Arabidopsis thaliana: one gene and its partners. The protein of the gene in region 3 interacts with the protein of the main gene of each other region in a pairwise test. Each region holds a gene or a part of one and is shown on either strand. Other genes may lie near its edges.

The links.
Region 1: the proteins of AT1G68240 (region 3) and RHD6 interact in binary tests that used the Arabidopsis thaliana proteins (3 or more experiments, as listed by UniProt).
Region 2: the proteins of AT1G68240 (region 3) and HEC3 interact in binary tests that used the Arabidopsis thaliana proteins (3 or more experiments, as listed by UniProt).
Region 4: the proteins of AT1G68240 (region 3) and bHLH121 interact in binary tests that used the Arabidopsis thaliana proteins (3 or more experiments, as listed by UniProt).

The regions. Positions count from the first base shown.
Region 1 is NC_003070.9:24,791,866-24,800,463, reverse strand, and holds RHD6 (ROOT HAIR DEFECTIVE6), read right to left. Parts: upstream 5,251-8,598; 5' UTR 5,139-5,250; coding exon 4,611-5,138; intron 4,510-4,610; coding exon 4,405-4,509; intron 4,320-4,404; coding exon 4,254-4,319; intron 4,174-4,253; coding exon 4,108-4,173; intron 3,998-4,107; coding exon 3,866-3,997; 3' UTR 3,449-3,865; downstream 1-3,448. Other genes in the region: AT1G66460 (Protein kinase superfamily protein), read left to right, coding at 8,395-8,598. UniProt on the Arabidopsis thaliana protein: Transcription factor that is specifically required for the development of root hairs. Acts with RSL1 to positively regulate root hair development. Acts downstream of genes that regulate epidermal pattern formation, such as GL2.
Region 2 is NC_003076.8:3,023,441-3,031,081, reverse strand, and holds HEC3 (basic helix-loop-helix (bHLH) DNA-binding superfamily protein), read left to right. Parts: upstream 1-3,967; 5' UTR 3,968-4,006; coding exon 4,007-4,681; 3' UTR 4,682-4,973; downstream 4,974-7,641. Other genes in the region: HAM2 (histone acetyltransferase of the MYST family 2), read left to right, coding at 6,371-6,677, 7,023-7,111, 7,214-7,273, 7,358-7,567. UniProt on the Arabidopsis thaliana protein: Required for the female reproductive tract development and fertility.
Region 3 is NC_003070.9:25,572,633-25,580,669, reverse strand, and holds AT1G68240 (basic helix-loop-helix (bHLH) DNA-binding superfamily protein), read left to right. Parts: upstream 1-4,540; 5' UTR 4,541-4,603; coding exon 4,604-4,834; intron 4,835-4,911; coding exon 4,912-4,980; intron 4,981-5,077; coding exon 5,078-5,143; intron 5,144-5,231; coding exon 5,232-5,384; coding exon of another isoform or gene 5,385-5,390; exon of another isoform or gene 5,391-5,452; coding exon 5,453-5,491; 3' UTR 5,492-5,806; downstream 5,807-8,037. Other genes in the region: AT1G68250 (uncharacterized protein), read left to right, coding at 838-1,239; AT1G68238 (uncharacterized protein), read right to left, coding at 5,992-6,189; AT1G68230 (Reticulon family protein), read right to left, coding at 7,438-7,607, 7,760-7,829, 7,916-8,037. UniProt on the Arabidopsis thaliana protein: Transcription factor involved in somatic embryogenesis. Acts as a positive regulator of somatic embryo formation. Acts as a positive regulator of ECP63 by targeting its promoter and inducing its expression.
Region 4 is NC_003074.8:6,899,095-6,908,208, forward strand, and holds bHLH121 (basic helix-loop-helix (bHLH) DNA-binding superfamily protein), read left to right. Parts: upstream 1-4,662; 5' UTR 4,663-4,747; coding exon 4,748-4,895; exon of another isoform or gene 4,896-5,391; coding exon of another isoform or gene 5,392-5,473; coding exon 5,474-5,581; intron 5,582-5,662; coding exon 5,663-5,790; intron 5,791-6,050; coding exon 6,051-6,512; intron 6,513-6,601; coding exon 6,602-6,769; 3' UTR 6,770-7,113; downstream 7,114-9,114. Other genes in the region: AT3G19850 (Phototropic-responsive NPH3 family protein), read right to left, coding at 725-1,903, 2,001-2,063; AT3G19870 (AP-5 complex subunit beta-like protein), read left to right, coding at 8,387-9,114.

The DNA of each region.
Region 1 (8,598 bases), 780 kb from region 3:
TTAAAAGATGCAATTATGCGGAAACAGGTATTAGTAGAGGAGAGAAATCTTTATAAAAGGAATCGGGAACTATAAATGATCTTAATGACAATACATACAGAAATAAATAAAAATATTTGGACCATTCACATTAATCGAGAGTATTAACATACACTATGATTGTTATGTGATTAGCCATGTGAATCTATTTTTGTACACTTGAAACGATACTAATTATACATAATGGTCCCCTCTTAGTTTTTATCTAGAGATTGCAATGTTTCTAATGTGACATTGTTGATCTAGAATATATTCAGAATGCGTTGCATATAGATTAGTGTCCGAAAGTTTTATATCCTCACAAATACCAAGCTTAATAATCCAACCTAGCTGATAAGATAAAGCTTTTGTTTTGGATTTTTTCTTATCACTAAAATAAGGGAATTAGTAACCCAAAACAAAGATAAGAATGACAAACAAGAACTGCGATTAGAAAAAGAAAATCTTTTATTTATCAAAACCTCACGTTGTATTAATCAAATCTCTGTGCACGTGGATCCTTCTGTATTATTAATCATAATTGTCCATTCAATAAACATACTTTATGATTACAAAAACCAGCCTGCCATTCTCTTAATGACACATTGTATGTGATTCGATATGTAGGATACGACTTGGGGAGGTACAGTTTTCAACTCCTTTCATATAATAACAATAACTATAACTTCTGGTTTTAAAATGTAGCATGTGCATTTTTATCTTAATTTATTTGTATTTTCGTAATTATTTCTTATTTAGTGTTCATAGTAGAAACTAGAGAGGATTGAACTAAGAGTAATATAGAAATATATATATTTTTAAAATTTATTATGGAAGTAGGAAATTTTTGATATTCAAAACAATTTTGAAACCCTAAAACAACTTCTTAAACCCAAGAATTTTTTTTTTCTTGCGAAAGACTTAAATGCATTAAAATGATAAGAAGTCCAATTTTCATAGTAGTAACTTTGAGGGAAAATAAACGTTCGTTATGTAATTAACTTTAAGAAAGGAAGAGAAATTACTCTGCCAATTTTGTTGACATACTCATCGATCGACACCAAACATATATGTAATGAAGCTTCAATAAAGTTCACTGATAAAAAATTAAGACCCTTTTCATTCGAACAAAATGTAACATTTGTATCTAGTCAACCTAATCAATGGCTAACGAAATCATTAACGAGACAACTGTCATGACAACATAGCTTGTCATATTACATGAAATATTGTTAAACTTCATATATCATACTTTTATAAAACGATCATATCGAGTAAAATACTTACTATAATACAACAAAATAATGATTATCGAGTAAACAATGTAAGTAAAACTGTACGCTTAAGTGGCTTGGCATTTATGACTATATTTGACAAATAACATATGAAATTTCGTGTTCTTAATTATGGAGACATCCAAACAATAAAAGAGGGAATTATTAACCATTATACAAGGAGAATCCTCAAAGGAATATCCTCAAATTGATCAATTGATGACGTAGTTAGATTCTTAATGATAAAATAAAATTATTAGTTTAAAAAAAATAAAATTATTAATAGTAATTGGATTTTTGTAATCGTATATGTATCAGTACGAATTTAGGGCCAGAGTCAATAAGCTCAAGCTCTATAGAAACAAAAAATTATCACAATAATCATCCATTGTCCATCCTCTTTTAAAGAAACAAAAGTAGCTTACCATTAAATGCATTTAAGTTACGGCCAGAGTCAATAAGCTCAAGCTCTTGAAAAAAAAATGTCTAGCAGTTTTTTCGGTATCCACCTTCCACATTTGTGTTGTGACAGTGAAGATTGCAATATTAAAATTGGTTGAAATATCCAGTAAGAATGAAAAAATATTCACATAAATAGTTGAGTTTTTAATGTTTTAAAAAGAAAATGATAACAGAGATTTAAAAGAAAAATATAGATCATGTTTTTTTTTCTTGAAACCAACATTGATCATTTTAAAAATCATAAATAGGTAAATATTTTGATTAAGAAAAATATAAATTGGTAATAAGTTTTTTTATAGAGATTTTTATTACGGAAAGAAATACCAGACCAACACTAAAGCTTATTTTGTATAGCATTCATGGTTTGAGCGTGTTATTATTACAACTAATCCAATATAATTTAGGGATGGTTTGGATTATTTTTTGAATGATTTTAGGTTTTATATCTTTGTTTTATGATTCTTAAAGTTTTGGAACGAATTACAATTACCAGTGAGTGACTACAATTGACGGTTATATGTAGTTAATACTTCTTTTAGTTTCTTTTTGGCAAAGTTAATACTTCTTTTCAAAATTATATTTTTAATGTCAAATTGTCAATTGTTTTTCCTTTCATGTGCATATACATTTATTTTAACCTAACTTAAGTAAATGATTTAGAAAATAACATTTAAAAGGTAATAAAATTGATTTTTTTCTGTTTCTATAAATAAACTCAAGTGTAATATAATACAATAAGACTAATATTTTACAAAACTTCTGAAAACAAATCGAATTGAAATTTTGATATTTCGTTTCAATTCATTCATTTGTTTACATAATGCCAGTCTAGTAAGATAAATATGGAATCATGTAATGGATTATAAAATAAATAGATTATTGGACTTCTTAATAACTTCGTTTGTCTTATTGACTTGATGGAGCTCGTAAGTACATAAATACAAGTACAGCGCCTAAAGTGGGATTATCCATGTGGCTAATCATGTAGTTAATTAATTTAATAATTTTGGACATACATTTGAATATCAATTCAAATGAAAACAATGTATAAATTAATAAGAACACGTATCCCTAATCTTTCCCAAAGGACACATGCTGACATGGGCTGATAAATCGAGATCTTAGGTATGTCGTCCAATCAATTAATATAATCTCATACTTAATTTGAGAAATAATTTTATACGATAAAGGTGCTGATGTGTATCAGTGTATGGTTATCCTACAATTAATTGATAAAAAAAATATATGCTATTCATCACTGATTTTAAGATTTCTCAACTTTTGGTTGAATACTTATTTACCTACATATAAAAATGTTTATATTTTCGAAAATACATATTTTAGTGTACCAAAATTATATCATAAAATGTTTTAGCCAAGCAAACTAGGTTAACATTATGTTTTGATCATTCATACAGAGAATGTGAAAATGTTTTGCACAGAAGAACTCGTCGTCCTAGAGCAATTATAAATAAAAAAATGGTCTATTTTGGTAATAGAAATTCATAGTTTATCTTTTTTTTCAAAAAATACTATGCATTGCAATCTATATAGAGACCCTATAATATGTGTGACAAACTTTTGACGAATTTTAAATAAATAAGCATGTCGCTCAAGAGCTAGCTTTAATAAAGCCAAGCTCAAATAGACAAAGAAAGATGACAAAAAGATAGATTCTCTGAAACTGAAACCTCAAGGAAAAAACAAAAGTGAAGAATTTTATTACTCATTTCTTGGAGTTTAAATAAAAGATCTGTATTCCGTAGACTAAAACACACAAAATACAATTAAAACAGAAAAAGAAATTGAAAAACATATTTATGTTTTTAACACTTATTTACTAGTTAAAGATTCCATCCCCGTGTGGACCCATATCAGACTGATCATCGGTGAATTCAATGTCTCTTGTCTTCTCTTCGTTATAGATGCATTAAGAACTTCTCGATTTTCACATAATCTAACGTTACATAATCTCGATTGTCTTCTCTTTGGATCATATTTCAAAATTTACGTGGGATTTATAATCGAGAGAATCATTGTTTCCCCCGATATTATTACAACGTACGTAATTAATGTTTGATAAACTGATTTATTAATGATAAAACCCTTCATTAATTGGTGATCAGATTCGAATTCCTGTCTCGTTGTGATGAGGAGAGAATGGCATCAATGGCGTCTTTAACTTGAGAAATGTCAGGAGCTTTTCCTCCTTGAGCCGGCCAAAACTCATCGGTCGCTAATACCTAACAAACAATAGATTATATCAATACGTGTTACGTAATAATTCGATAAATATGGTAATTAAATCAATCCTGAAAATTAATTTGAGGGATGTTTGTCATAACTAATATACCTTAACTTGTACTTGAAGGAACTTGACATAACTAATAGCCTTTTCAAGCATTGTCACCAAATCAACCTGTGAAACATAACAAATATTATTATCATGAGAATAAGTAATATAATAAATCTGTCATAAATGGTTATATGGATGTGTACCTTGGTGCCATTGGGAACAAGTTCTTGCAATATCTTGAGACGTTCACTTATCCTTTCTCTTCGATTCTGAACAAAATAAAACATATGTAAATATGTGTTGAGAGATTGAGTTTTATTTTAATGAATGTAAATTAATGTCAAGAAAGCAAACCTTGGCTGCTAGGCTTTGTGGATCTTTAGGTGAAGTTGTTGGCTTAGGCTTGGTCTTTCCGGTCACACCGCTACTCAGTTTCTTCGACGGTTGAGTGCTCTCTCCCTATATATCCATAATTCAAATTGATAGTAGTATATATCAACGATCTTTCATTGACATCTTATATGAAAAATATTCACCAAGACTTTGTTGTTTGTAATTACCGTGTGAGAACGTTTGTTTCCAGCGGATTTAGGCGAAAGAGACTCGTTTCTAGAACCAGTGGTTACAACAGTTGAATCAGAATATAACCAGTCTTTCTGGCCTTGGGGAGTTTCGGTGGATCTAGGGCTAATAATATCCATATGATGTTGATGATTCCAGTTTGTGAAGCCGTAGCTCATGTTGTTGCCCTCCAAGAAGGAGAAGCCGCCCCCACCGCTACTACCACCACAGCTTATGGCTGGAGGAGGAAAGCTCTCGTGATGATCAAAGTTAAGAAATGATGATCCGTTGAAATCCATCAAAGAGTTGTGATGATCTTCACCGGATGGGTAAAATACAAACCCCTGATGTTGTTGATGATCTGAATTCATCGTGCTACTGCTCGAAGCCGAGCCTCCTCCTCCTCCTCCACCGGCATAAGCTGCATCTGGCTGATCCAGTCCCGGCGAGGAGAGATCTTCGGAAGAGGAGGAATTTTGTTTTGACAAGTAATTGGTCTCGTTGGGATGGTCATTAACGAGTGCCATTAGACACTAATAAGTTTGATAAGTGATTTTTTGTTTAGGGTTTTTGTGTGTCTTGTTGACGAAAAGTGGCTTTAAGGTTGTCTATTGGTAAGCAAAGAGAGACAATGTGTTTGTGTAGTTATGTTATGATAAAGGTTTATATAAGTGGTTTATGTCTAATATTTTATTTAAGCTAGTGACGTATTCTTAAGATTTTTTTTTAATTTATTGAGTTTGATTAAACTGATTAGAAAAAGAAGCTGGCATTAGATCAAATTCAATATTTTACGTCATTTTTTAAACTCTTATCAGTTTGAAGCTTCGAAGTTATGAATGCATAGAATTCTAGCTAGACATATGTTATTTTTTGTACATTTCCTTAACTGGGAATATTGGACTAGCATGCCTAAAACGTATGGTTACTAAAAATGCTTGTATTTGTTTTGTTTTTTTGTAGTCATTGTCTCCTTGTAATGTTGTTAGTAACAACTTGTTACTCTGCCTATGGACACTCATATTTCTTAGTTCTTTCAAGATAATGACATCCATTTTACTCCGATGTTCATCGACAGACACTACACAACATTTTTTTTTTTTTTTTTAATGTGATACTTGAAGATAATGACAATCACTTTTCTACTAGATGAATAGTTCTAATAAACACAACCTTACATGTTTTCTGATACTTTTTAGATCCTCTTTAAAAAGATAGCTAAAATTTTGGTATTCTAACTTTTAAATTTTACATATTTATGATACTTCCACATATTCTTTCATTTCGTACTAACTGCACTGGTTCCATTATTTGCTTCTATCCCACTATTTTCTCACAGTTAAATTTGTTCCATTTTTTTTTTTTTTGGACAAAAAATTTGTTCCATTGTTATTATTTGAAACCTTACTCTATACAATAGTTCTTAACCAAAAAAAAGTTGTATGTTTAATATATCGTAAAATCTACTACATTTTTATTTAACCAATAAAACATATTCACATTATTATTTTATTTTTAATTTTCAATTAACTGAATGGATAAATATAAATATGAAAAATGTAAATTAAGTATTAATTAATTATAAATTTCGATATTTATTGAAAATTGTAGTAAGAATACTGAGTTTTCATTAGTTCTTTTTCACTTTTAATTTGTTAAACTCAAATGAACCCAAATTAAGGTATTTTTTTTTTTAAAAAAAGAATATTGTAAAAGATTGTCTATAGACAGAATTATCTTTTATGGTATTTAATCAATTGAATCGAGTCGGTACCATATATGTTATATAAAAAATACTCCAAACATAGACCACTAATACTGGTGAGGAAAAATTATATAAGTTATTTGTATTGTATATAATTTTAGCAACTAATGTGGCACTGTAAAACCACATGATCAACAATGTAAATAATAAGAACTCATTTTAAAAAATGGCATAGAAAAAATCTTGACGTCGGGGAAAAATATGGATCGCATATCAAATACATCATTATCTTTTTGGAGTGATAAAAAAAATGAATGAACGTAAATTAAAGTGTTGTATTACAATATTTATGAGTAATTGTTGTATTACAATATTTATGAGTAATTCATCGGGATTGTTAGCTGGCAGTAAGGTGAAATTAATGGACTGAGACTTTATAACCCCAAAAATAGTTTATTAATTAAGAGAAGCGAAAAACATAGAAGCAAAATCATCGCCGTATCTTCCGCTAATCTACACGTCTTTTTGATTCCCATATATATGATCGATTCTAATATATATCAATTCTTTCGATGATTCATTTTCATTGTTTATTTTGTTTCGATGATTCATTTTTCCTAAGAACCTGCTTCTTACTTTCATTTCTTTAGCCGACACGTCGACTTATAAGTAATATACTCCATAATATAGTTGTTTTAGGCTAACTTGTTTTATTTATTTTATCTTCGTTAATATCTTTGTATATAATCTTTTTTTTTTGTTGAAGTTTTGGACATTCGGCCCATTCTTTGGGTTTAGAGACCAAAACATGCTAAAACCTTTTTTTTTTTGGTAGAAATAAAATTCAAACTAGTTCGATACTAATTTATGTTTTGTACAATCCGTCTTTATTGAAATAACGTTCTTTTTTATTCCTTTTTTAAATCATTTTGAGGATTTTTTTCGACAAAAAAAAGTTAGGATTTTTTTTGCTTTCAAATAAAACATTCACACCTTATCAAACCAGTTAACATTTACTCATTTTTGATGGGCCGAGCGAGTAAAGTGGGAGCAAAGCCCACGCCCAACATTATTGTGAAATAAATTATTGATGAAACTGTGAAAATAATATAATCATATAAGTTAGTAAGATAAAAATCTAGAATTTAGAGAATCGAAATCATTTAATGAAATTATCTAACAAAAAATATTATATATTGTATTATCCATCATCGAAATTGTTAGTAACAGATAATATTGTTTACAAACACACTAACTTTAAATATGGACCAAGACCATGATCCAAGTAAATAGCCATACGATTATATATGTTAACCATCTAGAGAGAATGATCCCTCATTACTTTATAAGAAACACATCCGACAGCTAATTTAACCAGTTTGTGAACGACGACACATATATACTAAGAAACATTACCGGGAAAAAAACAAAGAGATATAATACTTGGACACTCTAGTCAACACAATGTGTAGATAACTAAAGCAGCTGGTCTTTCTAATCCATTTTTAGATAAATTATTCTTTACTTCAAAAAGTAAAATATCTTAACTCTACTTATATAAGCCTTTTGGTATATCTTTCACTATCGATTCCTCTAAATATCTATAGATATTACTATGGTGTATAATAGCTATGAAAATCATTTACTTCTCACATAAATAGAGAAATATAGAACCATCAGATGGAAACATACATCAACATCTCCAATTTCTTTCACACAAAATAAACTTATTTTGTGGTCATGGGCTTTGGTCTTGTCCCTCTTTGAGCATTTAACAACAACTTTACCAACTAATCTTCTTATATTAAATATGAATTAATCGCTCTAACAATATTTCAAATAATTAATTATAATTATATCCTCCAACTGTTATCCTAACAATAATTCAAAAATAATTAATTAATTCACAATTATTTCCCCCCTCCTCTGTTTTCTTTTTCTTGCTCAACAATACATTGACGGTTTTAGTTCATGTTCTTTGAGTTTTAAAATACACTTTTCCAAAATTGAAAGAGAATTGTTGTTGTCACTTTCCCTCTTACCTTTCTTTTTCTTTAGATATCTTCAGAGAAGAAAGAATGGGGTTATATGTTCATCAACGAAACCCAAATACAAATCCTCAGGACAACAATCTAGAAATAAAAACTCATTTGAAAAAAATGATTCTTGATTTGGGTTTTCCTTGTTTTGTTCCTCCTCGAACCAGCTCTCGTGAGGACAACAAAGCTTGGCTTCTGGCTGAAACAGAGCCGAAGCTTATTGACTCAGAACAACATTCGTTG
Region 2 (7,641 bases), on a different chromosome or scaffold from region 3:
CGGGGGCTCGGGGCCAGGTATGAATTAGTCCAAATCCCCAAGTTTAGACAACCGATTTTGAGAAGAATGTTGTTTTCCTTTACGATTTGGATGTTATATCTTCTCTTGTTTAATGTTTTCTTTTCTTTCTTTTTTTTTTCAAAAAATTTGGTGTTACTAACATATTGACTAATTAATATTATTTATTACAAATCCGTTGTAGTCTAGCTGGTCAGGATACTCGGCTCTCACCCGAGAGACCCGGGTTCGAGTCCCGGCAACGGAGATTTATTTTTACTAATTACAGACAAAATTTACCCAATCCTAGCAGGGAACATGACTGATGTTCCAACTAATTACAGGTTTTTGGTTATATATATGTTTTATTCTGTCCCAATTCTTATACTCTTTGGATTTCAAAAATGTTCGGTTTTACTAGGACTTGTACTGTAATTTAAGACGAGTGGGATCACATGCCTCTAAGTAAAATGTGTTAAATTAATTTAATCTAGTAAAAAAAATCATCTGAAATTGGCTAAATTGTTCTTTACTTGAAAAAAAAAAAAAACTGTTCTTTCACTGTCCCCACTCACGATGATTCAATTACCCTGCATGCTCATAAACCTGAGCTAAGGAATTCCTTTTTATAGAAAAATGCTTATCGTCGAACAAAATGTTGATCAGTGGATGTTGGAAAAAAAAGAATGTTCATTAGTGGATATATTAATCGTTGAATGTTAAAATATTCATCAAAACATATAATTGATTGAGTCTATTTGGTTTTTTGTTAAATGAGTCTACTGTCTACTTCTCGTGTATGTAGCTACAATACGGCATTATGCGTCTATGCATGGATACTGGAAATACGTTTGTACCTGCAATAATCCAAGAAAATGAAAACCCTCGAAGTCAATTTCATATGTGTAATATTCTTCCCCTCAAAAACAAAAGAGAAAGAAAAATAAAGTGAAAAACTCATTAAAGAGTTTTCCATAACACTAACACTTTCGGACCAAACAAGAGACTTCTTCACTTTTCTTCACTGCAGCTTCCCATGCCTTGTAATCACTTTTTTGTAGACTTTTTAGATCCTCTCGCGAAAGAGAAAAAATAAACATGTTTTTTTTTTTTGCTACTCCATTTTAAAAAACTTAGCATCATTACTAATATTATAACACATAATCTACCCTCGTAGTTATAGAAATCAATACAATAACGCATATATATCCTACCTTTTTCGTCTAGCTTTATTTTTCTTAACTTGATATATAGCCAATTTGAAATTTTATTTTTGGATGAATTAAGCCAAGTGGTGAACTGGTGATTACTTATACATTTTCTTTTTTGGTTTGATCATTTTTAATGACCAAACCTAACCGGTGAAATTGGAGTAAGATAAAGTGATATCACTAGATTACAAAGTGTTCAAATTTGGAAAGAAACAACACTGAGTTTTTCTTTGTTTGTTCTTCTCCATGGTGGAAGCAGAAAGAGGAAATCCAAAAAAGAAAGAAAAAGAGAAGTCGCTGTAAGAGACCAGACTCTGAGGAAATGAGGGTGTGGTTCTTTGGGAATCGTAACGCACAAAGACGGAAGATTGTATCGCTATTAATAAAAAGGAGGAAGAAGCACAATTGCTGAAAAAAATAGTTATATATGTATGGCCTATATATATATATAGTTATTTAATGCTTTTTTATGTACGCGATAATTTGGATGAAAATAATGGAGATTGTCAGATTTTATGATTCAATCTTCATCGGAAAATGTTGCATAGTTATTTCACCCACTCACGTGTATATGTACTATATACATTTACACTAGATTCATCTAGTTAGGGTTTACGGTTACACTTTATACACAGACGAAATGGGGGCCGCTTGAGCTGTCACATGTTTAAACCATATCATAATAGATAAGCTAGTGATAATTTGCTTAAAAGAAAACATGATTTAGTAAATCAATTGCATTCAATTTTTGTTTATTACAACTCGGTATACATTTCGAAACATATTATACAAGCTTTATAAACCATTATGATATTTCACATCACAGTTGCAGAAATGTACATACAACCAAAAAGGAAAAAGTAATAATAAAATACTATATGTATTCTAAATGAAATCATAGATTTAAGAAGTAAATTAAATTTATGTGTCTTATATATTCTATTATTTTACATGTTTTTGTGGAAATTTAGAAACTAGCTGTCCAAAATGAATCATTTAACTTTCACATGTATGAAAAATATTAATAGACTTAATTAAAAAACACTCTAAATTTATGATCAGGCAATAAAAAAATTGTTCATTGCTCCAATCCATCCGAATTTGTATTATATAAAATACATGGCAAAATAAAACTTCTTTTAACTAAACTATATTATATTATAAGTCTTGCTCATGACTGTTATATACTTTAATAATATGATCGAATGCTAGCTATTATATTAAATACACAGTTACTCTTTTAATTGCGGTTTTCATTTTAAACCGCTATAAATGCGAAAACTATATAGTGTATACTTATATCGAATCAAATTAATTTCCAAAACTTGTGTGTGTATAAGTAGATGTTCATACATGTAGTTGGCAGTTGGGTGGATTTAATAAGAATATAATATACAGTGAACAATGGATTAATACCAAAGAAGTAACCCTATAATGCATGATTGCAGCCTGCATGCGCAATTTGTATGATTATAATGCAGACCAAATCATAACATATGTGCAAAATATACGCTTATATCTCATATATGTACATATACATGTGTATTTATACATTGCTTTTGTGTTGAGGCATATGACATAAGAAACTTGTCACATTAAATCAGAACCGTCTGATTTTTGTATAAACGGATCGAAACAACGTATATAAATTTGCCTCTTTTGAAGTCTCATAAAATTTCGTGTATTTTACGGATTTGTGTTTGTTTTATACACTTGTATACAAGAACGTTGTTACGTAGATGTGAACTTTGTTAATAAAAAGCAGAAATTGCTTCATGGAAAATGATATATTCACCACCGTCTTATATAAACGAGTCACGACGATGATACACGTCTTTCTTATTAATGACAATCATGGATAACACCCAAATGTTGAAGAAGCTAAGGTGTCCCCATGCGAGTGATTTGATGTTTGTTATCCTTATAAACCTTTAATCACGTCGCAAGTTATAGAATAGCTTTGTGGAAAAAAGCAAGTTGATCATTTGTTTTATAATAATATATAACATTGCGAGTTTCACACACAATTTACATTCAATATTGGACTCCATCGAGGGGAGAGAGAAAATCACGACCGTTGATCGGGATAAGAGTATAGGATCAACAAAATGTGCTATTTCGTGAAGAGACAAGAGAATGAGAGAAAATTTATCAAGATTTCCTATTTTAGTGAATGGGTTTTGTGAAGAGAGAAGGAGATAATTAAAGGGATTGTAAATTGAGAAGTCAGAATAAGAGCACACAAGTGGTGACATCTTTTGTGAATCAAAGAGAAACTCATGTTCATATAAAGTAATTCACATTCTTATAGCTAGTGGTTATTAGTTTATTACTTTGGTGAAAGCCACTTTCTCGATATACCCTAAATTCAAGTCTCAATGTGGGAGAGGGAAACCCTAGCCAACTCAAAACTATCTCATTAGTCAACTGGAGCTGCTCATTAAAAAAAAAAAAAAAAAAGCGATTATGCCAACTATATGTATACAAAAGTGCTACAACGTTTATAAACATTTTCGGAGCATAAAAAAACTTCTTATTCAACTATATACAATTTAATCTTTTTCTTTGGTAACGACTAGTGACGTCCACTTATTGAAAAGATACATATAAATAAAATTATTCTTTATTTTTTCTCCGAACCAAAATCCTTAATTGCATCACCAACCTAACCCCTCATCATATGATCACCTTTCTTTTTTTCCTTTAATATATATATATGCTCACACACACACATATATATATACATATAAGCATCGCCTCAAGCATTAAAATTTTTACGAACCAAACAAACAAAAATTATGAATAATTATAATATGAACCCATCTCTCTTCCAAAATTACACTTGGAACAACATCATCAACAGCAGCAACAACAACAACAAGAATGATGATCATCATCATCAACATAATAATGATCCAATCGGTATGGCCATGGACCAGTACACACAGCTCCATATCTTCAATCCTTTCTCTTCTTCTCATTTCCCTCCTCTCTCTTCTTCCCTCACAACCACCACTCTTCTCTCCGGAGATCAAGAAGACGACGAAGACGAAGAAGAACCTCTAGAGGAACTCGGTGCTATGAAGGAAATGATGTACAAGATCGCAGCCATGCAATCGGTTGACATCGACCCAGCAACCGTCAAGAAACCCAAACGCCGTAACGTGAGGATCTCCGACGACCCTCAGAGTGTGGCGGCTAGACATCGCCGTGAGAGAATCAGTGAGAGGATCAGAATTCTTCAGAGACTCGTGCCAGGTGGCACTAAAATGGATACGGCTTCAATGCTCGATGAAGCTATACGCTATGTCAAGTTCTTGAAACGGCAGATCCGGCTACTCAATAATAATACCGGATATACTCCTCCGCCGCCGCAAGATCAAGCTTCTCAGGCGGTGACGACGTCATGGGTTTCACCGCCACCACCGCCAAGTTTCGGCCGTGGGGGAAGAGGAGTAGGAGAATTAATCTAGACAAGATGACATTTCCATTAGTAGTAACTAAATTATGCTATAATGTGTGAGTAATGGTGCAATTATGGAAAGTGTTTATATATAATAAAAATGGATACGAAATAAGGGTTTGTTAGGATATATAATATATTGTTGTTGACCGTGAAAAGGTTGTGGAATAATCATAACGGTTAGCTTGAGTTGTGTACCACCATATATTTAATATTATGTTATCATTTCGTATATAATAATAAGTTCTTGATTTGGAGTTTGGTTGTATACAAGTTTTGGCCGGGCATTTTTCGGGCATAAGAACCATGACGCCATCAAAGAACCCTATTTAAATAGTGTTATCATTACTGTGGACTTTTGTCTTTGTATACACACAACGCATATATTTGTGAAGTACTATATTTTAGAGCATATAATATGAATGTACTCTATTGCTTCATTTTCATCTTTTTACGTACATACCTCACTTTGAACGTTAATACCTATACATATTGAAAATCGTTTTGTTATGATTAGAATAAGCTTTAAGAATTCCTAAATTACAATAAGCTTTAGGGCTTTTTTTTTAATATATAGCTTCACAACTAGCAACGAAAAATCCAAAAAGAAAAAAGTTGTTATGAAAATAATATCCGTACGTTTAGTCTATTAGATTATACTTGTTAGTATCCGATTAAACATCACCTGAAAACTAAAAAGTCTAACAGACTAAACGTATCCGATTATACTTGTTGTAAAAATGTTAACGAAAAATGTTTAGCTATAGTAACGTTTAGCATAATGAAAATTACGACAATCATCCCATAAAATGATGTTTTGTAATATAAAGTAATCTCAAATTACAACAAACCGATAAGGTATACAGATACTCTACTCCAGAAAGAGAGTATATATCGAGACATATTATAAAGAGGATGGTGCAGAGAAAATGTACTTGCTCGTTTTGTCTTCGAATTAATGAATAGAAGTTCAACTAAAACAGTTGCAAGATCTCTTTTTACCTTCCCAATAATAAAAAGAAAACCTTTGACTACAAACAAGCATTAAACCACCAGAGCTTTGCTCCACACTTGTTGGTCAGAAAATCTCAGAAAAGTAGCAGAGAGGTTAATTCAAGGAAACCTATGCTCCTTGTTCACTTCACTCATGGATACTTCCGCTGACTTTTGTGTCTCCTCACATTCATAGGTTTTAATAAAGACACAATGAAATGTCAGTGAGATTCATGGAAACCTAGCTATATCCATTTTGCTAACGAAATCATTTAATATATTTTCTTTCTTTTTGCCACATAGTTATACATTCATTCACATCCTAGAGATAATTGCAAGAACTTAACGTCTAACCAAATTATTTAGCTCAAACAATGCATTAATAGTCACTAAATAGCCATGGGTATGATTCATATATTTTCAAATCTAATTCGTTTTACTACAGAAATATTTCAATGTGATTCGAGATAATTCTTACATGATCAAACAACTTTCTAATTTTATGAATAAACTGTGATCCCGGTGAAAATGTATGTACTTCACACCATTAAATATCAATATTTTTAACGGCCCATAAATATAGGCCCAATTATGTGAAAAGTTACTAATGGGCCTGATTTATTTCAAGTGTCCGTTTTTCTCTCTCTAGTTCTCTTACTCGTATGAGAAAGAAAGCCCACCCGGGAATCTCCGACCCGACCGAGAAATGGGATCGTCAGCGAATACAGAAACCAACGGCAACGCACCGCCACCGTCGTCGAATCAAAAGCCTCCGGCTACGAACGGCGTTGATGGGTCTCATCCTCCTCCTCCTCCTTTAACTCCTGATCAAGCTATTATAGAGTCGGATCCGTCGAAGAAGAGGAAAATGGGGATGCTTCCTCTAGAAGTGGGTACTCGTGTGATGTGTCGGTGGAGAGACGGGAAACACCATCCGGTGAAAGTAATTGAGCGCCGGCGGATACATAACGGCGGTCAAAATGATTACGAGTATTACGTTCATTACACTGAGTGTATGTCGTTTAATTCCTTATCAAGTTTTGATGTAGGGTTTTCAATTTTGGTTGATTCGTACTGTTGAGCTTCACAAAGGTGGAAATTTAGTCAAGGGTTTATAATGTAGGAAGAAAAAAGAGTTAAATTGCAAGACTTTATCAATTGGATCATTGGAATTGGCTTCAAGTTGTGTGAGATTTTTGAGAAGGAGATCAAATTCTGCATTATACTTTGCTTCTAAAGATTTTGAACCATTTATACTATTGTGATTAAGCTGAGTAATATGATGACAAAGTTGGTGATTTTGAAATCTTATGATCATCAATGTGTTTGATTTTGGTAATTTGTTTTCGAAACTGCAGTTAATAGGAGGCTGGATGAATGGACTCAGCTGGACCAACTGGACCTTGATTCAGTAGAGTGCGCTGTAGATGAAAAAGTGGAAGACAAGGTGCGTTCTCTAGTTTTGTATTGTTAGTTGCATAATGTGGATTTCATGAGTTTTCTCATATACGTTTAGCAATGAGCAGAGATTTATGTCTGTGGTTTCTAGGTAACAAGCTTGAAGATGACACGTCACCAGAAGAGGAAGATCGATGAGACACATATAGAGGTAATGAATGCCAATATAAGGCGGGTCCTGGAAACGTAAGGTTTGTGTTGATTCAGTATTCTGTGTTTCGAAATGTTTTTATAGGGTCATGAAGAGCTGGATGCAGCAAGTTTGCGTGAACATGAAGAGTTCACGAAAGTGAAGAACATATCAACAATTGAGCTTGGAAAATATGAGATTGAGACTTGGTACTTCTCCCCTTTTCCGCCAGAATACAATGACTGTGTGAAGCTCTTTTTTTGTGAGTTTTGCCTGAACTTCATGAAACGCAAAGAGCAGCTTCAAAGGCATATGGTGAGCAACTGTTTTTCTTTATCTTTGAAGTCTTATGATGCTTTTTAATTACATTTCCATTGCGAGCTTCAATA
Region 3 (8,037 bases):
AATCAAAGAAAAACCAGTTTTTATATATTTTGGATTAAATCAACTCATAAAATTCTCAATATATTGTGTAAATCTTTCATATATTTTTTCTATCTAAAATAGTTCTTAATAAAATATTTTTGTAAAATATATTTTTTTTTCAGAATTTTAATTACTTTAGAAGATCCATCAATATCTGAATTAAATTTAGTGTCGTTGATTTAAACTAAATTGTAATAGTTCCATGTGAATTTATCAGTGAAGCTTTTAAAATTTTTCAATTTTCAATCAGTATTTGTTTTTTTTCTTCTTGTGTTTGTAAAAATTTGTTCGTATTTGTGAAATTCCTTACAAATATTTTGCTTGGTGAAATTATTTTAGATTGAACTTTTACTTATCAGTGTACTTCATGTTTTTCAAAACATTTCATATGAAGCTGTATACTAGCTTTTATCTCGTCAATATATATACATACAATGGTTTACTACATTATTTTCACATAACTATATCGTTTATAAAACAACTTTTCTCATCGTTCTGAAAACTTGGTGAGAAATAATTTTGGATCGGATTTCTTTGATCAAGTTTCCGATTTATTATAGTTAACAACAGTGTGAAAAGTGGATAAATAACGAAACACAAACTGATGGATAAAGAAATTTACATAAAAACAAGAAGATGGATATATAATATATATCCTCAAGGGACAAAATAGAAATCCTATAGTAATATGATAAGTTCCGACAGAAGTTTGAGTCGATAACCCTCTTTCCCGCTCTTGTTTCCTCTCCTATAAATACCTCTTGCAATTGGCACAAACTCTCCATATCACTCTTCAACTAGTTACCTTTCATAAATATGGACAACGATCGAGATACCGTAGAGTTCTGGTCCTCACTTTTCCAATCCTTTGCTGACTCAGAACCTAAAGATAATCCATATCCTGTGGTTAGAAGCCCGATAATGACCATGTCTACACCGATGGCCATTGATGAGCCGGTTGAGCCATGGAAAGTTCTTGAATATGGAGGTAAGGAGGTTCGTCCGATGGCCATTGATGAGCCGGCTGAGCCATGGAAGGCTCTTGAATATGGAGGTAAGGACGTTCGACCGATGGCCATTGATGTGCCGGCTGAGCCATGGAAGGTTGGAGGTAAGGAGGCTCAACCGGCAAATGCTGCAGCCGAAGCTGGATATAAGAACGTTAATACGGATCAAGAGAAATCTACTCAAAAAGCAACGGAAAAGGTAATTATGTAGTTGATTTTCTTAGATATATATATGAGTTTTTTTTTCCGTTTATTTATTTTACATATGAGTTAGGTCTAATACGAACTTTGTTATTATATAGGGTAAGGAGAAGGAAGATGCTGCGAAGGAAGGAAGCAAGAGTCTTGGTAAGAGACCACGTGGTTATGAAGCACGCATTATCAATGACAAGGTGAGGACACGTTTGTTTGTTTAATGCGTGTCTCTCAACGAAAAAGACCACGTTGTTCAACGTTTTTTTCTTTCTTATTTTTTTGGAAAAAGGCTTAATGTTTTGTTATTTTGATTTCAAAATGCAGAGGAGACGCAATGATATTAATAGCAAAATTGAGACGTTGAAGGAGATGACACGTTGTAATGGAAAGGTTCATGCATACCAACTTTTTGCCTCTATTTTTTTCATCTAATTGTTGCAAATACAAATTGATACATGTGTTTAATTATCTTTACTAATCAAAATATTTTGTTCATATACGTATAAACAAGAAGTTTATTCTCCTATTTGTGTTTGAAACTTAACATATGTCCTTAATTAAAAAACTAAATTAGTGGTGTTTTTTTAGGACATCCATTTAACTTGTATCAACAAACGCTAATGAAAAATAAATTTGGGTCTGATATTACTAATACAACTTTTGCTTTGTTTTTAATTTGTTATCCGCATGAACTGTACGTAGAGAAACTTAGACTCGAGCCTTGAGTATATCATCGATAAAATACGGGAGATGAAGCTTTGTGTAGAAGTAAGTAATCTGAATCGTCACATTGTTGTTATCTCACGACATGCATGTATATTTAGGATTTCATATATGTTTTTTTAGTTTCAAATTTTTCTTTTTCATTGGTTTTGTTTAATTCAGTTTATCATATGTTATATGATAGTTAAGTGAATGTCATTTCTTACTTGCTGGATTAGACAAAAGCAGTAATTAAAGAAAACCATTTATCATGACTAAACTCAATATTTAACAATGCAGAGTTATTGGAGAAACTCAATAGGTCTAATGATGCCACCGGGCATGGGGGTGGTGGATATTCCGGCACCATGGGTATATCCTTATAATTATGTCCCTCCAAACTACATGATGTATTACAATCACTTTCCGGCAGCACCGGCACCAGGAGAAACTAGCGGCTACGCCAACCAATTTGTACCCTTTACCACTTATCAGGTTTTGATTTGTTTTCTTCTTCATGTGTTTATATTTTTGTGATTGTTAGTTGTTCTTTATTTATCTGTTCTTTCTTGACAATGAAAAATTTACAGGGAGTCAACAACAATAATCAACCACAGACGACAAAGCCGATGTAAACTACAAGATGCTGTAGTATATAAGACCAGTTCATGTTTTAGTATTAAAGACCGGTTCTCTCAAGTTCTTTAATAATATGGTTTGTTGTTTAATGTAAAGGAGTTGGTCTCCCAAGTTGTATTTGAAACTAGGAGTACTATGTGGCTTGCTCTTTGTTGTACGTTTTCGCACTGTTGTATAGTATACTGTAACGTTGTAACGTTTTACATTGTTTATCGTAAACAACTTATAGTATTTTGGTTGTTTAAATGCAATGTTTTCGTGTTTAGTTCTAGTGCGCAACATCATATATTAATTCACATTAATCACCAAGAAGAATCTAGCTATATTGTGAAACTAAGGATTGTTCCGAACATAAACAAAAAATGTGTTGAAATATATTATATTATATCTAAAATAAAATAAATAATATAAATATTATTATTTTGGCAAAAAAACTATATTAATATTGTTTTAAAGAAAAAAAACTTTGTAGCTAAAATGATAAACATATATAAGTGATTTTTTTTAACTTACATATCTCGTTAACGTTTTTTTGTTTTTTCGTTAACGTTTATAATTTGTAAGAAAGATTTAAAAATGAAATATTTTCATAAATATTTAAATATTAGATATTTGATCCGCGGTTTGGGCCTGTAGAGAATCTTAAATTCATTTTTTTTTTCTGTTTTTATTTTCAATCTTTGAGCAAAACAAATAGTTAATGATGTTATAGATTCAATTGTTTAACAAAAACTAACTTAAGAAATTAATTTAATTGAATGATTTTTTTTATAACTAAATTGAATGATATTGCAAATATCTATTTACAACATTAAATATATTTGTTACTATAATGATGTTAGTGTAAAAAATATATTCATTGTTGCACCCAAAACATTCATAATTAAATGTTAGTTTTAAACTTGGCAATCGAAATTTTATATTATTTTTCTTTCAAATCGCTCATATGATGGCAGGTTAACCAAATATGTTTTGCTTGTCCGTTTTTTTTTTCTATCTGTCTCCAATTGTTCAAATAATATATACGAGATATTGAAGAAATGGTTGAGAGAAAAAAATGAAATGGTTGAGAGAAAAAAATGAAATGGTTGAGGTTTATTTAAGAAGGAGAAGTAACGAGAGTGTGCATGTATCCACAAATAACCCAAATTAAAATAGTACATCTAGCTATAAAAAACGTCCCGTCTCAATGAAGTAATCAGACGACGGTCTTATGTATTTGGGTCGATGGCGAAGCTATTCGATAGAGAGTTCAAGATCTCTGATCAGCACATGTTTATATGAAAGATTTTGGTGCATGACTCCTTAAAATATGTATGAGTATTGAAGAGACACGTAACTCGATAAATATATGCAAACGTACGTTCTAAATATCACATCAGAAGCTAGCTTGCACAGTGTTACAAGCCGGTCAAAACAAATTTCTGACTAGAAACATTTTCTTGCCCTTGCATGGACATGTCCATGCATGTTGTTGATATAATAGAAAGTTTATCTTGTTCTCAATCAAAATAAATAATTCTTAAATATTGAAATATGTCATTTTTGTTCGAACTTGTAATAGGAGTTTTACAGTTCTCTTTTCCAACTAGATAATGTTTTTCCAATTTTAATGCAATTTGTTGTATCCATAGCTAGCTTGAGAAGAAAAATAAAATACTAAAGATTAAGAACTGCCGTTCATGAACAAGAATGACACTATTCCCCTGCCGTTCTTAGAATTTCAAGAAAGAGCAAGAAAGCAAATATAAGAAAACAACAAAAATATATGTTTTCTTCTGTCTAATGGATGTGCGTAAATGTGGAACACATAAATATAATAATATAATGGAAAATGAGTAAATAAATTGTTAGAGAAAACCATGGGACGAAGCAAAATCATCTTCTTTGCTTCCCGCTCAATTGTTGGAACTTTCAAAAGAAGCTTCTTGTATCTCCCCTATATATATATAGCTTATGGCTGAACTAACTAGTTTATCCTTAACCCTCCACTTTTCACTCTTTAACAAACTCAAAATCCTCAATTTAGTCAATCATCAATGGAGAGAAACAACCGCAACGAGGGGACTCACGAAGAAGAGCAATGTTCGCTTTCTGATATTATTTATTCGTTTTGTTCAGAAAATCATAGTGAATTAAACCCTTTGCAAGAGATATTCGGTGTTACCAAAAACAATGATCATGAGAAACACGACGAGGAGCCAGACGAGGAAAGTTACCGTATGGCTAAACGGCAACGTTCCATGGAATATCGTATGATGATGGAGAAGGTGAAGATGACTTAATCTCCTTCTTCTCTTACGTGATTCCCTAGCTAATTTATATTTTTGCTTTCTAAACTTTGTAGAAAAGACGAAAGGAGATCAAAGATAAAGTAGATATTTTGCAGGGGTTGATGCCTAATCATTGCACAAAGGTTAACTATTACTTAATTTACTCCATATTTTTTATATATTAGAGTCTAATACAATATCAAGTTTCGAATATCGAGTTTCTTGTGTGTTTATCTACAGCCGGACCTTGCATCGAAGCTTGAAAACATCATTGAATACATTAAAAGTTTGAAATATCAAGTAGATGTAAGCATTAAACTATATCTAATTTAATTTAGTTACTTGTATCCATTAGAGTATATATGTTCTTATGTGTTATGTGGATGTGGTCCAGGTTATGTCAATGGCATACACAACAACTCCGGTTTACACACCACCATTTTATGCAGCAGCTCAAGCACCATGTATGTCTCCTTGGGGCTATTATACGCCAGGAGTTCCAATGATGCCTCAGCAAAACATGACCTATATCCCGCAATATCCTCAGGTTTGATCAAATTAAAGTTTAATCTGATTCCACAGATTCTGATTTCTGCCATCAATCTTTTATCACAGGTATATGGAACAGTGCCGCCAAATCAAACTCAACCTTAAAACAAGCTCTAGCTATGTGGCTTTTTAAGACCCTCCGGCTTTAGACTCGTTGCTGTTTATATAGACTGTCTTTGTAAACTAAGATATGTACATAGATACATAAATACATACGTAGTTTTATGTATAACTTTTAGTTTGATGCCACAATATGTAAAAACACCTGTTTTTTATGTTCTGTTTTGGTTGAGCATTGTTCCTCTGTTATTTATGTTCTGTTTTGCTCAACCTTTTTCTTTGTTGAATGTAAGTTAAATAAACAACAAAGATGTTATGTTACGTGTAATAGTACGTTTGTACCAAACATTACTACAACCCTAGTTTGATAATTTTTATCTTGAATCATAGAAAACGAACTAGATCACTAAAATGTTAAATTCAAGAAGCAGAATACATTCATTGGCTACAAATTATCTACACACTTTAACTTTTTTTATTAAAGCAAGAAGCCAAAATAGTTTTATCTTTAAATGTTACTAAAGTAAACAAAAAATGCTTCCCGTTTAACCTCCACAACCACCACCGCAGCCAGCGGCGCAACTGGATCCATTGACATCGTCGTTAGTGTGAGGTTTAGAAGCTCGGTCACTGCATGAGAAAATCACGGCTGCTATGACGGAGAAAGCCACAACAGCTGCCCAAATGTAGAGTGAGACTTCACCATTACCCGCCGCTATTACCGCGAGTTCTCCTCTCACCATTGAAAGAGTTTTTGTGCATCGCTTTGTGACAATTGTTGAGACTAGTTGATAAAGAGAGTTGTAATTGGCATATTTTCAAATGTGTGGTTTTGCGTTTTCGAGTCAGAAGTCACCAAAAAAAAGATGCGACGACTCTTTCTTATATATACTGCCCTTTGGTTTAACTCTAGGGTCAGTGGATCACAAGCTAGTAGTTAACCAATTGTGTGTGCGGCCACTTGATTGTCTTAAAAAATAAATTAAAAATTTCTTAGTTAGCAAAAAAACATAACTAAGAGCGAGTTTTTAAAAGTGGTCATAAAGTAGAACAATATAAGAAAGTAGCACTACAAATGACATAATTACATAGATGACTATATTTACATAGATGTCTATTTGGACTTTGAATGTATGGATATACGAAAATATTTTGGAGATTTGTTTTTCTGAAGATTCAAAAAATTGATTAGAAGACTCTGATTAGCAACTTAAAACAATTTGAACTATCTAACAAATAAATGGTAAACAGTTACGGAATAATGCAAAGATGTAAAATAGAGAAGCAGTAAGCAAAAGTGATAAACAAAAATCCAAACAAAAAACCAAGAGGTATATATTAACTTAATTTGGTTTACGGAAAAAAAATACATGAATAGAGACAAGAAAATAGATGAGTCTCGATGAGTCTTTCTAGTAAGAAATCAAGAGCTGATTGCATGTGAAGCAACATCCCTAGTGACCTTGACGAAGCCAAAGAGGTACCTAATATATTTTTATTTTCTTTTATCACCAAAGAGGTGCGAGGTGCCTAATAATGAAACGAATATCTGTTGAATATATCCCTGATATAAAGTTAGACCTCAAAATTGCAAAATTTTAGACTAATAAATCGTTGTAACGTGAGTTATGCTAACTCTTACAAAACTTTCTACTAAGGTTTGAGGAAGATGTAATGGTATCAAAACCCAGTCAAGCTTCGTAGCAGAATGGCAAATATCGAATAACATTTTCATTGCACAAGAATATTTCATAGAGTTTAGAGAAACCAATCATGCTTAAAATAGTGATAGCCAGTAATAACATATTTTAGAAAAGACTATTCTAATCACAACGAGTCACCTTCAATAAAGAACGAAAATCTAATGATCAATACCCATTGAATCCTGAATTCCTTGATGAACAATCATGATTACATGAACAAAGACTTATTTTAAGTTTTAATAATGTGTAACAATATGTGCAGATTTGGAAGATTGATATACATAAAAGTTACATAGTCCTTCTAGTTTTAGCTTGAGCTTTAGGGATCTTGTTAATGACTTTGGAGTTGAATTTGTTTAGGAGCTTCTTCATGTCCCTCCCACTTTTACTTGCTGCATAAGTCAGCTCTTCTTCGTATTGCTCATACAACATCGGTATTGTCTCCAAACCCACAAATACTTCACCAAAACACCAAAAATGTTTGTAATTAAAGCCATACTTAAAAAGAAAGGCTTTTACCAAAAAGAAAGGCTTTTACCAAAAAGAAAAAGTTTTGGAAAATGTAGAGTGTTAATCAGTAAATGTGTTAGATAACCTCATTAAGACTCACCGATGTATAATAGAGTTAGAGAGCTGAAATAGTTTCCAACCACTGATAATATCCATAGGGAAACAACGGCCTAAAACGAAACGAGACACAAGTTATAAAATCAAAACAATCTTGGTATGAAATAATTAAAATGAAATTGTGTGTATTGATTTATACCAGAAAAAGGAGTCTGAAGTCTTTGCCACTTGAAATATCATACAATTTGATGATGAACCAGTTTATCTTGTTGAACAAGAATCTCCAATTCGATTCCGAAATCCTTAGATCATTAATACTCG
Region 4 (9,114 bases), on a different chromosome or scaffold from region 3:
TATAACACAGTAATTACTCATTAGCACCCTATTCTTTTATTTGTTTACTATTTATAACCACATAACATGTTTATTAATTAATGTTTTTATCAAACAGTATTCGAAAATTGCAAACGCAAACATACAAACCAATCAAAACGTCTGTGTGTCGTATTTGTGTTTGCAAATTTCAAGTGAATGTTTGATCAAACATTAAAACTGTTTTTTTTTTTTTTGTTAAACAACGTTAAAACTGTTATGCTTTTAAAATACAGACAAAATATTCTAACTAGTAGAACACAGAAATCCAAATGTAAATGATTTGCGTTTGAAAGTTTCAATATAATTCCACTTATTTAAGTTTTAGGACAATTATTAAAATTTTGCCACCAAAGTTACCACTAGTACTTCAACGTGTATGAAAGTAGTATGCACATATATATGCAATTTCAGATTTTCGAATCTTTAGATATCACAAATAAAAGAAAGACAAAAAGATAAGTTAAACTCTTTCATCTATTCTCTTGAGAAGTGTAAAAAGCCAAACTATATAGAAACTTGTATACTTCTTGTCATCTTCTATTTCACTCTATTGTTTGTTTTCTTTTGCTAAATCTCTACTTTGTTTGTTTTTGTCTCATTTTGTTCAATATCTTTTTTTCCAAATCAACGTGCAATTATTTGGAAAATAAATCTATTAAAAAAAAACAAGAAAAAACAGAAATGTAATGAGTGAAAAACTGACCTCAAGATAGATGTTAATGGCTCTGTATAATCCATCAAACCAATCTCTAGCTGAATCTGGCAAACTCTCTGCAACTTCAAGAAACTTTGACACTTTAAGATTCTGGTCTGGAGATATCTCTCTGAGATACTTATCAATCAACTTCCCAATTCTTCTCATTCTCAAATTCTGATCTCCTTCTTCTGTGTTTCCAATTCTTACAAACACTTTGAGTAATCTTATCACCAAATCCACATCGTAAACCCCTTTTTCTCCTTTTCCTCCAGCTGGTATCAGAAGATCATCAAGTGTTGCTTGATCCAGCATTTCTCCTATAACCCTCTCTAAACCAATTCTTGATTCTTTACTTATGCTAAATCCCGATAAAACTCGCAGAACCCAGAACATTTTTCTGCATGAAAACGCGGTTTTCGCTGCGAAAACCACTCCTTGAACCGCTGTATCAGCTAAACCTGAATACTCGAGCTTGTTGGTTGACTTGTTTGGGACCTTTGTCTTGAGGTAATGGAGAAGAAATTTTGTGAGGACCAAGCTGTCATTGTTCTTATCATGCGCACCAAGTGTATTTATCAGCTTTTCAATGATTTTTGGCCCGAGAATTGACATATCGTCGAACCACCACTCGTTACTTGTCCTGCAAGAAAAAGACCTCGAAGTAGACCTTTTGTCTGAATACGACCTAATCATTGCCGTCTCCGGCGACTGAGAGGAGGCTGAGGCAGAGGCAGAGGAAGACGGAGAGGATGATGAAAAGACATGACTCACGTCTGAATTCTGAGGGATTTTGGCTAAAACCCCGAAAACAAGCTTATCAACAAGACCGTAAGAATCAGCGTGTAAGAACACTTGCTCGCAGCTCTTGAGACACAATACGATGTCGTTCCAGGACCAGTAGAACATTCCTTCTAGAAACTTCTCTGTTCGAAGCAAGAGATTCGAGGAACAGAGTTTCTCTGTCATCTCAAGGAAGACAGAAGAGCAATGCAAAATGGACACATTTGAGACATCTATCGAGATTCCTCCACCATAACAGAATCTTAAAACCAAGTCGAACCCATCTGACCCACCTGGAAAATCTTCAACCTCGATGATGATTCTACTGTTCTTGTGATTCTTTTTCTTCTTATTGCTCTGTTTTATCATCTTCCTCAAGAAGCCTGAGTACTCTGAGATCAAATCCTAACCCAAGAAACAGAGAAACAGAGTTTAATTCAGAAAATGGAAACAGAGGAAGTTAGGGTTTGAATTAGTGTGGAGATTTGATTTGGTTTATTACCTGATTGACGAAGAAAGTAAATTGGTTATTGAGATTGATTTGAAGATCACAGCAAAGAGACATTGTATCAACTTCTTTTGCATTTGGTGAAGATGAAACTTCTTGTGAGCTTTCTTGTTCTTGTTCTTCCTTTTGGATTGGAGAGAGAGAGAGAGAGCAATAATAGTTATCACATGGAAACGGCTATTTATATATCTCTTTTTCGGCGTCTTTATTTCAATTATCTAATGTACACTTTCTTTTATCATCCTTTATAACTCATATAAATTTATGCAAAAGGAACTTATATACAAACGTCATCGAAAAATTGTATAAACTGGTCGCATGGACCAACTTGTAACCCTAGTGTGTAGACCATCTAAAATAGTGAAAATGTAATAATTTGTTGCCGTTTGTAATGAAAAAATTATTGTTCGTTATTGTTTAGTTTTTTTGGTATTAGATAATAAGATTCATTGCTTAATCGAAATGTACTATATGATATTAATTTTGGAGCAATTAGCTTGACATGCATAGTTTACTTCTTTACATTAGAAAACCTTTTTTCTAACATCGAACTTAAGAAAAGTTATATAAACTGCATTAATTGACTGCATGTTTATTTTGAAATCCATATAATCTTGTGTGCAGAGCACAAATCAATATGACGAGGCGTTGTTAGTTGTTACTAAAAATAACCAGGTGCAAAGATTGATTCCTTAATGCTTCATTGATCAGGATGGCCAAAAAATAAAATAAAAATTGGTGTTAGAGGAAGAAAAAAAAAATACAGTAGGTGGGTAAACAAACAGCAGGGAAATAGCTTACAATTTGTTGAGAATAATTCATAATTATGACCAACATTATTCAGGTTATTTGGGGTAAAGTAAAAATGTATTGCATCAAATCAAATAAGATTTACATTTTAGACAGTGAACTATAGGTCACGACTAATATCAAATATATATTTCCAGTAGCACAGAAAATGATGCTTCATGAACTCTCACTTATGACTTGTCAATAGCTCAAGGACTATGCTACTCAAGTTGTAATATATATATTCTGTATTTATATGCTGTTTTATACACACGTAACGTATATATGAATGTGCCCCCTTTGTTTTTATGTGAATTATAAATATTCTCCCTTTCTTGGCATTACATTATAAATTCGTAATACTATTATTCCACTTCCATGTAATTTCAAGAGTTTTCTTCCCTTTTTATTTGTAGAATATTTATATATCAGTTGCTTGTAAAGTTGGGAGTTTCACTTTCATTGCATGTGAATGGGCCGGGTAGGGTTTTATGACTCTAACGTTTGTGAATAAAGTCGACTACTTGCTTTTCATCATTATCCAAATCCAGCCATGTAAAATATATGTAATTGAAAACGATATATGTAACAAAAATGTTATAAAAAAAAGATACACCAATGTCGATATACATTACGACTCTTTGAGTACAAAATAAAAAAATATGACTAACTTCCGATAATAGTTTTTATTTATTATTAAAAATGAAGTTTCCAAATAAAATATCATTTTAATATCCATACAAATTATGAATAGTATGTGAGGTTTAGGGCAAAGTCTTCTGAGGGTTCATCAATGGGATGGGAGTGGGACGAAGAAACGAAGGCGACGAGAGGATTTAGGTTTTATTGTTTTAAAATTTTTGTGCTCTAGTATTTAAGCCCTTTAACAGGATTTTACAGGGACCAACAAAAATGTAAAGCCCCAAAGGAAGAAGCCCACTTAAAAAATACTAAAGTAAAAATAAATAATTAACAGGCCCATTTGGCCTCATCGACTAAAGCTAGCCCAAAAAGAGGATACAATAAAATTACATAAATTTTGTGTCCTTTTCGATTTAACTTTTTCTTTTAGAAGAACAATCCTTTGTTTTTTTGTGCAAATCTTTAGAATCTCGAGACCAAAACTTAAGTAATCATCAAAAATTTTGTCAAGTTTACATTTCTATGCCAAAAATTATACAATATCATAATGTTCAAGCAGTGCTCTAGAGAGCAAGAAAAAAATGGTTAAGACATAAAAACTAGTCGGCTAACACTGTTCAAGAACCATGATTTATTTGCTTCATCAACGAACTGATTATAATTCAAATATTACAACAGAGCGGCAAATCATTCGAAACGCGGTACGAACATTAAAATTTGATGTGCATTTTGGCCAAAATATTTGTTGATGGATTCAATTGGGTAGTGGAAGAAGAAACTGTCAAAGTACACCTACTTTGCAGTCAAGTTGTAAGAACATAAAGTACGTATTTTTTTACAATTTCTAAATATACTAAAAGCTTGCAGAAAGTATGTATATCTAGAAGTACGTATCTCTTACGTTTGTGAAAACTATTTTTATAATTTGACAATTTTAAATGATTTGATTATTACACAAAAATAGTCGAGGTTATGTAAAAATATTTTTTAAAATTTTCGATATTTTGTCCGGTACAATTATGTCACCATCTCGATTCAAGATATAAAAGAGTTAATTTAGTTTCACAATAAAAATCTCGTACTTACTTTTCAAACTTTATAATTGTGTTGGATAAAAAGTACAATTGAATCTTTTAAAATCAACAATGAGTGTCTGTTTTGATAAATGCATAAATTGGAGTGAAAAGAAAAAAACAATTCCAGCTTTTGCGAAGTTGGACATATTAAATTCTACACAATTGTTTTTTTTTAAAAATACAGAATTGTAGATAGAATGAATATTGTTTTTTTTAATTAAAATAATTGAAAAAATGGGGATAAGAGAAAATGGAATAATGCTTGTGAGCAGAGAGAGAGAGCGAGCGAGGAGGCTAGAGAATCGAGAATCGATCTTCGCCGAACCACCTTGTCTTCTCTTAGCTCATCGAATCTCTCCGTCGCCGTCGATTCTTCCCGCCGGTGAATCTCTGCCTTATTGTTTTCTTCAATTTGATCGTCCTGAATTCATCGTCCTATTTAGGGTTTCGATCACAATCTGGTACTTCTCTTAATCAAAGGAATTTTTATTTTGATTTTGAGGGTTTTATTGGTTTGAACTTAGCTCTCTAGCTCGTGAAAGTGTTGTTAGTTCGTCGTGGAAATCAATTCCTTCCCTGTGTTCTTCTTCAACAACGTTTAGTAATTTTTTCGTAGATGTTTAAATCTCTAACTTGTTGATAGAGATAGATGTTATTATTGCCAAATTAGGTGTACAAAAGAATGTGGAATTTTCTGTTTGAGATTAGCTTCTCTAGTAACCTTCTTTGCAATTCATGATGCCAATTGCTAAGTATGTAACTATGTCTGGTATGTGAGCTGGGATCATATGATACCTGACTATCGACTCAAAGAGAATTATGTTAAGTCAATCAAGGCTTAGTTCTGAGGCTACAGTGTGTGTGGTCGATGTGCTGTTATGGTGGAATTGGATACTAAAATATGTCTAAGAGTGGGACTGCAATATGACCTTCTTAGTTTATTCGATGTTTTGGTTGCAGAAGAGGAGGTCATGGACGTTTCTGCTAGAAAGTCACAAAAAGCTGGGCGCGAAAAGTTGAGGAGGGAAAAACTGAATGAGCATTTTGTTGAACTGGGAAATGTACTCGGTATAGACTCAATGGTTATGTGGATTTTTCTAAACAGCAGATGATCTCACTTTGATCCTCACATAGCTCTTCTGTTTGCAGATCCAGAGAGACCCAAGAATGACAAAGCCACGATTCTGACTGATACTGTTCAGTTGTTGAAAGAGCTCACATCTGAAGTCAACAAACTGAAATCTGAGTACACCGCATTGACAGATGAGTCCCGCGAGGTTCGTACCTTATCCCTTACGCTCCAGGCTTTTCCTAACAGAAAAAATTAGCAGTCTACATGACGTAAAGATATCGATAGGGATCCCAATATAGATAACTCATTGTCTTTTTGCTTTTACGATATGGTGACTACACCTATTTCGTAAGATGCAAACTCAGACGGGCTATATAATGTAACTGCTTATAGGACTTGTTGTTATCATCAATAGCAACACTTACAAATTTACTGGTACTTGTATAACAACGGTTCTTTCTGTAGTTGACACAGGAGAAAAACGACCTGAGAGAAGAAAAGACATCGCTGAAATCAGATATAGAGAATCTCAATCTTCAATACCAGCAGAGATTAAGGTCAATGTCTCCATGGGGAGCTGCGATGGATCACACAGTCATGATGGCTCCACCACCCTCCTTTCCATACCCTATGCCTATTGCTATGCCTCCCGGGTCAATCCCAATGCATCCATCAATGCCATCTTACACATACTTTGGGAACCAGAACCCTAGCATGATCCCAGCTCCATGTCCTACATACATGCCCTACATGCCTCCTAATACAGTCGTTGAGCAACAATCCGTGCACATTCCACAGAACCCCGGTAACCGTTCTCGGGAACCTAGAGCAAAGGTTTCAAGAGAGAGCAGATCTGAGAAAGCAGAGGACTCCAACGAAGTTGCAACACAACTCGAATTAAAAACCCCTGGATCTACTTCTGATAAGGTAGAGAGACTTAAAACTAGAAGCTAGAGATCTCCAATTTTTTTCGGATTTATTATCTTCACAGTTATTCGCGAAATTGTATTTTGAAGGATACATTGCAAAGGCCAGAGAAGACAAAGAGATGTAAGAGAAACAACAACAACAACTCAATAGAAGAAAGCTCTCATTCTAGCAAGTGTTCATCTTCTCCGAGCGTACGAGACCACAGTTCTTCCAGTAGCGTAGCTGGTGGCCAAAAACCTGATGATGCAAAATGATTCGAAAGAATCTGATGTTGATCATCTCAAGTATCCAAGTATCGTTTCGATGAGTACTGTATATAGTGCGAGTACAAAATGCACTTAGCTGTTTAAAGCAGTGTTTTGATGCACCGTGGCATTCGTTTTCCTCGGATAGTCATTTCTCAGATGATTTTCATCCTTAATAGGTCTGCTTTAGTTCTAAAACTCGGATGATTTGTAATTTCCAGTGTCCAAATCTACTAATTTTATTAATCCTATAAATTAAACAAACTTATATCTTGATTTTTTTTTAAAAATCATAGATTATTTATACTATTGTACAAAAAGAATTACATTTAAATCGGTAAATATAGTTTCACCATAAATATATGGTTTCATTAATATCATAAATTAGTAATGATATAGATATATCAACAATATATATTTATATATATATTATATGTAAGAAATTTCTTTGAAATATATTTTTAATATTTAGTTCTCATTTGTACTTATTTGAATTTAGTTCTAATATTTTACTGTATCAAAAAAAATTTGGTGTTATTTTTTAGACATGAGAATTATTTTTTACTTATAATTAGTTATAAAAAAAATATTTTTTATAATGAAAGAAATCTTATAGTAAAAAATTACTATGAAAAATTTCTTTATAAATTAATAAAATTTTAGAATCCCAACATTATTAATTTGTAAAGGTTTTACTGTAGTTAAGTTCAAGTTCAATTTAAGCTGGTGCTAAACGTTAGCTACGTGTTCGTATGATGTCAACTGTCTAGATACAGGAAAATTTCTCCGAATATACAGCGACTACACATCAACCATAGAGAACAGTATGAAGTAAATATACCCTCTATCCATCGCATATGTAGTTTGTGGGAGTGCTCTGTTGGTTTCGCTTTCCTCTGATGTTGTATACCCTGTATTGTCAAATATGACTGCGACACGGTTCCCACTCATCTCATAGACCGCTAGATAATAGTCTGCATGTATATAAAATAATTGTTAAAGACAAAACATAGGGCATACCCAATATCCTTTGTGCATAGTATTTAGTATGTCATGGAAGTTAACTAGGTCTTTGAGAGTTCGAACGCCATGAAGAGCAAAAGAAAGAGAGGAAATACGGAAGAGAAAGACAAAACAAACTAAAAACCAAAAGACATTTGACCTATCGTTTCTGTTTCACAGGACGACCATAAGATGTAAAAGTCTTGCCCATCCATTCCACAACCCATTATCGATTCACAAGGCAACATAAGAAGAAGTTTACATTTCGATGAGCTAGAGCAATTCTCTAGCGCAGATCACAAACAACCAACTCCAACCTCTGGTTATACTATCCAAGATTTTTACAGGATGGTGCCTGAGGCTGCCAGGTTTCGAAGGAATAAAGAGTTTTGGTGTAGCAAGAAAAATTAAGTTACAAGACACTAATTATATTGTAGATAGAGACAGAATTGAAATAAAATATGGAACATAAATAAATAATTAGATAAATGAGTCAGCAGCTTCGGTGAATTGTTCTGTATCTCGGAGTATTACTGCCGGCGACGAGGATAGTCTTATCTTCTCCTCTCTAATGACTTTGATTCATTTTCCTCTTCAGATTCAAATCCTAGATTCAATCGGAGAATGACCACGACGACGCCGGAGAAGACTCCGGCGAGACCTCTCTCTATCCAAGATTGGGACGTTCTCATCGACGACTTCCGCGACGCCGGCGCTCCTCGCGACTGGTTCACTTCCGTTTTCCAGATTGATTCTCTGGTGGACTTCGCTCTCTCGTCTCTCCTCAAAAAAGACTTCCCTACACCAGTGAAGCTCTCAATCCTAGTCTTTCTCGATGAATTTTCCCCGATTTTGTTTGATAATTGTGGTAGCGATACCTTTGATCGCTTCATCGATGTTCTCCGGACGATCGTGCAATCTCCAACTGATGGATCGTCAGGATTGAAAGAGCAAGCTATGGTCTCTTTCACGTCTGTGCTTGTATCGATTGATTCTTTCTCTGTAGGTCACGTTGAAGCAGTTGTTGATTTGCTTCTTGCGCTCGTTAATCGTCCTAACCACGGATTTGATCGACAAGCTCGTGCTATCGCCTGTGAGTGTTTACGTCAGCTTGAGAAAGCTTTTCCTGGTTTGTTATCTGATGTCGCTGGTCATCTTTGGTCGTTGTGTCAAGCGGAGAGAACTCACGCCGTGCAAGCTTATCTTCTCTTGTTCACCACAATTGTCTACAATGTGGTTAATCAGAAGCTTAAGGTTTCACTTCTTAGTACCTCTGTACCTTTGGTGCCTTTTAATGCTCCTAATTGGATGCGTGATGAGAGTTCGATTATGAGTCAAGGTCAAGGGTTGGG